Linked DNA regions of Coturnix japonica. The protein of the gene in region 1 purifies or fractionates together with the protein of each later gene. This does not show direct contact. Links are inferred from orthologs where the notes say so. Each region holds a gene or a part of one and is shown on either strand. Other genes may lie near its edges.

The links. Proteins that work in one complex are often made in the same cells at the same time.
Region 2: the proteins of EYA2 (region 1) and ACAD9 purify together in Homo sapiens (affinity purification with mass spectrometry; 3 studies listed by BioGRID and IntAct, with this or other methods). This does not show direct contact. The link is inferred for Coturnix japonica from reciprocal best matches to the Homo sapiens genes EYA2 and ACAD9.

The regions. Positions count from the first base shown.
Region 1 is NC_029535.1:4,986,814-4,990,561, forward strand, and holds the start of EYA2 (eyes absent homolog 2), read left to right. Parts: upstream 1-1,027; 5' UTR 1,028-1,091; coding exon 1,092-1,162; intron 1,163-1,729; exon of another isoform or gene 1,730-2,921; intron 2,922-3,748. UniProt on the Homo sapiens protein: Functions both as protein phosphatase and as transcriptional coactivator for SIX1, and probably also for SIX2, SIX4 and SIX5.
Region 2 is NC_029527.1:3,516,461-3,520,208, reverse strand, and holds the start of ACAD9 (complex I assembly factor ACAD9, mitochondrial), read left to right. Parts: upstream 1-1,325; 5' UTR 1,326-1,444; coding exon 1,445-1,570; intron 1,571-2,617; coding exon 2,618-2,711; intron 2,712-3,748. UniProt on the Homo sapiens protein: As part of the MCIA complex, primarily participates in the assembly of the mitochondrial complex I and therefore plays a role in oxidative phosphorylation.

The DNA of each region.
Region 1 (3,748 bases):
GTCCACTATTGAGCCAGAACAGGAGAGCTGCAGCCTGCCCTGAACAGCTGGAAAGAGGAGAGAAAAGAGGAAGAGCAGGGTGCAGAAGCAAAACACCCCGATGCCACCGTGGCCAGGCTGCTTCCCCAGCAAGCAGGTATGCTGGTGGGCAGGGGTGGATGTGTGCTACCTGTGTGCTGGGACGAGGCGAAGCACAAAGACACCCTTTGTGCTCTTTGGCTTTTCCGCCTCCATATGGTCACGGATGCAGCCTGATTCCTGCGGGGATGTTGGAGGCAGAAGCAGGATGGCGTGGGGTGGGGGGAGTTCAGCCCTGGCCACCAGGAGCTGTGCGATGCTCGTGTTGGTGGGAGCAGAGGGATGCTTTGTATGAGCGGGACTGCTCCTGCAGCTCTGCAGGTCTTGTGGTAGTGTGGGAGAGCGTGTAAAAAAACTTCCTCCAAATATTCTTTTAAAATTGAGGTTTAAAAATTGACACAGGAGTCGATGTTGTGTTCATATGCCCACGTTTTAAACCAAGAATCCCTCTTAAAAACATACAGCTAAACCTTAGTTGAGAGCATCAGGCCGGATAAAGCTGAAAGCAGAAAGCACGCTGAGGGAGTACCTGCTAGCAAGCGAAAGCACGGCCCGGCAAGTTAGAAAGCGCGGGGGAGCGCTGAGCACAGCAGGCAGAGCAGCGGGATCGCTCAGGGGGACACGTTGGTGACCGCACAAGAGGCTGCCCCGCGCTCCGGCCGGGCCCCGCGTCGTGCGGGAGCCGCTGCAAGCTCCTCCTCCGCCGGGCCGGGCAGCAGCGAGCGGCCGGACAGCTCCGAGGGCACAGGCTGCGAGGCGGCGCGGCCCCACGCGTGCGGTAGGTGCGGGGCGGGACGGCCGCCTGCGGGACTGTGCGCGGCTGTGCGGGGCCGGCGGCGCGGTGCGGGCTGCCCTGGGGCGGGCTCGCTGCGGGGAAGCAACAGGTCGGGCTCGCTGCGGACGGACCCTCGCGAGGTCACGCACCGCGGGGAAGCGCGGCGGGGAGGGGAGGGCGCGGCGCGGGGTGCGGAGCCGCCGCCCCGCTCCGCTCCGCTCCGCTCCTATCCGCGGGCATGCGCGCCTGCCTCGCACATGCTCACTGCGCCCGCGGCGGGCGCGCACACTCCGCAGCGCTGCGGCTCCGGTGAGTACGGGCGGGGGAACGACGGTCCGCTGCCCGCCCCGCACCCGCGGATGGGCTGGAGGCGGCGGGTTCCGTGAGCGGCTGCCCGCGTCCATCCCGCGTCCACGGACGGCGCGGAGCGGAGCGGGACGGGACCCGGAGCGGACGGCAGCGCCTGTCCCGGCCCCGCCGCTTCCCGCGGACGCGCTGCGGGGCGAAACGCGACAGCACGTCGGGTCGTACGGGCTGCGGCGGGGTTAATCGGTGCGGGTATTTGATGCGCTGCGGACCGTCCGGCTTTACCTTAAGCCAGCTTCGGTTAGTTATTCTATTGCAAACTGAAATGTGCGTTTAAATAAAGTTAGTTATGCTCTTTTTTTTTTTGCAATTGCTCCTGTGAGGAAAATTTCTCGAGTGATTGATGCGCTTGAAATACACTTTTTGGAGCGTTACGTTATGCCCGAGCGCAGCGAACAGCCGCTAACGGAAATTAGCGATGGAACACAGCTCCTGTGCTCGGACCTTTCGAATGGTGCTGTGTTCTGCAGGGTGAAAGTTTAGCTATTAAATGCGCACGGTTAACCAATAAACATTTAATCACATTTATTAACGGGAATTTTCTTCAGCACGGTATCAGATTCACACATCCCTTGACTTCGTTCAGGGCAATAGGAGTATCGCATTGTTTAGTCCTTCTCGTGCACTTTGTGATTTGCTGAGATCCTCCTTCTGTGCTGCTCTCTCCAGGAGGTTTTCCCCGGAACCTTTGGGGAAGCACGACGAATTGCTTTCTGCCCGCTGTGTGTGCTGGGGGATCTGGTGCCTAAAAGCTGGGCTCTATTCAAACTACAGCTCCTATGTGTAAGCTGATGTTTTGTAGCTCCTTCCACGCATCCCACGTTGCACTGTGGTTTGTGTTACATGTTGCTAAGTACGAGATAATTTTTCTCCTCGCCCCTTTTGCTTTGAATAAACTGTTTCTTCTCTAATACAAACCTGGATTATTAATTCTGCCTTGAAACTTAAGGCTCAAATATTATGGGCTTAAATATTACATACGTAAATAGGAAAGGCTTACCGTACAAATACCCTGAAAATACTTAGTGTTTGCAGCTTTGGAAACATTCCAAAACCTTTTGAAATATATGTTGAAAATTCACTTGCAATGATGCTACAGCAAATAACTTGAATTAATTATTCTGATTTGCATCTTAAGAAAAAGATAATAATAAATTTACTGTGTGATGCGAAATTAAGTTTTTGAGTCACATCATCCAGCCAGTTCTCATGCCTCTTTCTCTTCTATGTTCCCAACCAGCAGGTCAAAACATTTGGCCTAATAACAAGTGTGTACTCCTTTACTCCTTTGGTCTGAAGCCATCGTTCTTTCTATTTTGCTTTGCTTTGTTCAGCCCGCTCCCCTCAGCTCATTTTCTCTTACAGCACTACGTACAGACTCGATTCCCACGCCTCGCTAATGCTATCACCAGCATTTGGCTGAAAGGTTTGAAATGGGCTCCTGTTTCAAATATCTCGCAACCTTGGCAGTATTAAATTTCATTAGAAAAGCTTCATTAGGGAGAAATAAATATATTGTTGGTAATTCCCCCTTCATCATTAAGTCCCGCATTCGGTGTTCTGCATACAGACGCACCTTGACTGTACAAAGGGATTTGACTCACGTATTCATGAAGACCATGGTCTCAGAATAGCATTTTGAGAATCTCGTCTGTTCCTCTGCTGTTGTCCTTCCATAGCTGGCCAATGTGATGGATTTTTTCTGCAAAAGAAAATAGTTTCACTGTGAATCCTGCAAAAGTTAGTGGTATGTTAAAGCTCAAACCAGTGAGGTGCTCTGCTGAAGTCACCGTAGCTGCATTTGTGTGTCGGTGTGTGTAGGTGCAGGCTGCTGAGAAAGAAAACAATTAAAGAAGTCAGTAATTTTCTGCTGTCTTCCCGCCTGTTATTTATGATGTGTAGCAGTAAAGCAGCTATTCTGAATTCAGCTATAATTCTCGTCAGTAAGATTTGTTTCTTCTGTGCCAAATTTTGCAGTAACCAGATGGCTTTAAGGTGTCTTCAGCTGGAAAGCAAGCAAGAACAGTGCTGAAGACTAATTATTCCTTGCAGTAAATTTCTTCTGTAATAAATTCACAGGTTGTTAGACTTAATCTGTGGAAATGATTGTTAAGATTACTTGTGCAGTGAAAAATGCTTTTAAAATTCTGTTCCTTAAAAAAAAAAAAAAAGGTCTTAGAATGCCAGGAAAATGTTTCTGAGTTCACTTTGCCTTGTAGTAACTTTTATTAGGGATGAACCCTTCGGTTGCAAATTCAAATGCTTTCATAAACCATGGAACTCTGCAGTTTTAACATGATGAATTTTAATATATCCCAGAAGTTGAGGGCTCAATTTGTAGATAAACTGGGAAAACTTGTACGGCCCTTTCTGATGGATAGTTACTGTATGCATGTGTATTATGAACAGCGACAGTGAAACTGCTGTACTAAGAATCAAGTTCTTTTCATTACGCTTCACATTGTACTACACAGGACAGAAAATAGTTACACCAAAGAGGAAAAGGTGGAACTGATCAAAACTTTCCCT
Region 2 (3,748 bases), on another chromosome or scaffold:
ACTTCTCATTTCTGCTACAAAATAAAAGATTAACAGGTGTTTGGCAAAGAAATGGGACTTTTTTTTTCTCTTTTTCTTCTTTCTTTGGCCAAGGGGAATAGAAAGTGAAAGTGCTGTGCGAGTGCTCTGAGTTAGGAGGTTACGTTATTCAGCAATGGTATCACAGTTACTCACGGCTGGAAATTCATTTCATAATTAGCACTGTGAAATTGTTTTTATTCGACTTTCAGACATGGATTTGCAATGTATTTGGATCCAGCAGTGCTAAAGACGTGCAGCCCTTCCTATGCACATGATTGTTGGACTGACCTGTCCTTCCTGCAGCCATACAAACCAGCAGTCCCTGTCCCTCACAGTTTCCCCATGTGCCTGGCACAGCTGTGCTGTAGGTCAGGCAAGGGAGCAGGAGATGAGAGCATGGTACCGTTTGTGCCAGTAGGAAAGGAATGCTGCACTGGGGGGGCAGGAGAAAGGAGCAGAGGAGCGTGACTTGTGCTGAATGCCTGACCTTGACAGGACTCCTGTGAGCATCCACCTCCTCCATAAGGTCACCAAATGCTCTTCATCCATTATTACTTTCACTTTACTGGCTACTATTTCTTCCCCAACAACAGAGCAAATTAAGTTGGTGAAACCCTTTTAATGAATACATCGCATAAGTTGTTCCTTGTTTGTATTAGAATACTTTAGAAAGTAAAGCGCTGAGATAATGTAGAGCTTCTAGAATGAGGATTGATAGAGTTAATTGTTGATTTGCCTGTAAGACGTGGGCAATCCCTTCCACTAACGCTGTGCATTTACTTCTTTTCCTCAGGTACTTATGGTAGCCACAGTCCAATATTCAGGATGCAGGATTACCTGGACAAACACATTACAATGCCACTGTTCATGTCTGTGTTTCCAGTGTGACATTGCTTCCACAGCAATTCACTGGGAACAGAAGTGGGAACACCAGATTCTGCTCTCACCTTTCACAGGATTTGAATTGTAAACCAACTTTCTTTAACATATTCAGAGTCAGGAGTGATTCTTCTTCAGTGAGTAAAGTACGCATCCCTCGATGAGTTATATGATTGAATAGCAGTTGTTAAGCAGTTACTGAAAGATAGAATAAAAAGGGAAAAAGAACAAACGAACCAGCTGTAGGGTAACGTTATGATAGTCGTTTGCTGATCCAAATATCTGTTGTATTAATTCCTTCTTATGAGAGCAGTTCTATGTGGAATAGGCTGAAATTGACATCGCTGCGCGGTCACTGTACAGCTGGCAGCGGGGCGGCCCTTATAGGAAGGCGGTGCGATGAACAGCAGCCTGGGAGCCGGCATTAGATGGCGGTGTGACACAGCAGGTCCCGCCCCTCGTTCTCGTTGCGTCTCAGCGCCTTCCGGGTCAGGCCGGTTCCGCCCCGTTCACTCACAGCCGCCCCGGTTCGGTCCGTGCTGCCATGAACGGGCTCTTGGTGCGCGCCCTGCGCGCTGCGCTGCCCGGACCCGCCGCCGTCCGCCGCCTGAGAACCGCAACGCCACGAGCGGCCTATGCCAAGGAGCTGTTCCTCGGGGAGCTGCGCAAGGTGAGCGCGGGGCTGCGGCCTCCGGAGCATGGAGACGGGCGGGGTCGGCACCGACAGGCGGGTGGGTCGGTGCTGGGCGGCTCCGTTGGGCTCCATAGGGCTCCTCGGGGTACTGGGCCGAGCGGCCCTCGGTCCGCGCGTGTGCGTGTGTGTGTGCGTGTGTGTGTGCGTGTGTGTGTGCGTGTGTGTGTGCGTGTGTGTGTGCGTGTGTGTGTGTGTGTGCTCCAGTGTGTGTGTGTGTGTGTGTGTCTCCTGCCAGTGTGTGTGTGTGTGTGTGTGTGAGCTCCAGTGTGTGTGTGTGAGCTCCTGTGTCAGCTCCTGTGTGAGTGTAACAACTAATAGTCTACCGAGATGAGTTTAACAACAAAGTACTGAGAGCTCGTGGAGCAGGGAGTTGGGTGAGTCGTGGTCAGACTCCATCCCGTTTAGTGCCTGTTGGTGCCTGTTTTCCCCTCGAGTTTTAATAGAGCGCTTCTGGGAAATGGTAGCATTTACCAGATCCAGGGAGATCCAAATGGGTTACAGCAGCCGGCACAGGTGATCCTGATGAGCTGCAACACAGCTGAGGCCTGCTCCATGGCACAGCAACCACTGCAAGAAGAAAGGGAGCTGACTCTGTAGCAGGATCTGTGTGACAGGATGAGAGCGAATGGTTTCAAATCAAAGGACAGATTTGGATTGGATATAAGGAAGAAGTTTTTCACTTCTGAGTGCTTCAACTGAGGCGCTGGCACGGAGCAGAGGCAGCGGTGCCCTGTCCCTGGGGATGTTCAAGGTCAGGCTGGGGCAGGCCCTGAGCGCTGTGTGGTTAACAACAGGTTTTTGTATCCTTAGAATCCTTGAAGGTTCTTGTTTCTGCTCAGTGTCCCTGATACACTTTGCTATGAAGCTTAGTCAAGTCCCATTTGCTGCATCAGATAAAATCCCTCAATGCTTTCCACAGTCCTGGATTTTCACAGCTTTTAGAGCCTGGTATTTAAGGACTCGTTCAGCTTTTCTTTCAGTTGCGTTAGTGATGCTTTTTGTTTTTGATGTCTATTGTTTTAGGAAGAAGTTTTCCCTTACCCAGAAATCAGCAATGAAGAACTGCAGGAGATCAACCAGTTTGTGGGACCTGTAGAAAAATTCTTTGCTGAAGAAGGTATCGTTATTAGTTTCTTACTCGTGTAAGTGCTTTAGTGGTTACAGAGTGGTTTAACTGTAGCAGTTAAATAAGATTGTTAATATATAAGTTACTTTATGCAGCACAGTGCTGCTGGTGATACAGGCATGTTAATTTATGGCTTCTGTGTATGGACGCTTTACTTGTTCTGTACTAAACCTACTGTCAGCAGATTTCACTGTAGATATTCATAAATGGTGCCTCTTTGAGAAGCAATGGAAAATAAAAAGTATTTATGTACACTCTTATTTTCAGAGTTGGAGTAGTAATTCTGTTTGGAAAAGCCCCATTAGCTGTATGCAATCCACATAGGGGCACAGGTGTTCCTTCTCTTATTGATGCAGTAGATTGATGCAGTTCTAGAACAGCTGTAGAAAATTGGTTCTTAAAAACAGCTCTGAGGTACCTGAAAGTGTCGTCTGAGATCTGCTGGCAAAGATAGAGGCCTGGATTGCTGGAGCTTGAAGAAGCTGCAATGTTATATGTGATGATTTATGAGATACAGGCAGTTTTAACAATAAAGCTGCAACGTTGCACAGCAACAATAAATTAATTTATGCAGGTTATGCATTATAGTTCTTTGCTTTGTTGGGAAATAACATTTGTTGAGTAAAAAAGTGGATATTTAAGGGAGAAATAAAACTATCAGATTATAAAGTCTGGACAGAAGGTAGGAATTGATTGTCTTTGTTTGCATTAATGGCTGTTTCTGCCTAATGATTAGGCCAGTCTGTGGGCTGCGATATAAAACAGATAAGGGGAGCAGCCGTAGGTGCTTGGAAACCTGATACGTATGGCTGGCACCGGGTAACCAAAGAAGTTCAGTTCAGCCATGGTTCTAAAGCCTGGCAGTCTGTGGTGTAGAGCTCTGGGTGGGAAGTTCCTTTAGGAACACACTGCTGCTTTTACAGTGACTTTTCTGAGTGCTCTCTGGCAAGGTGGCTGTCATCCCTTTTGCTGTATCCTCCACCCTTCCTCAGCTGCCTGCTGTGATGCTGGTGTATTTTCCCTGTCAC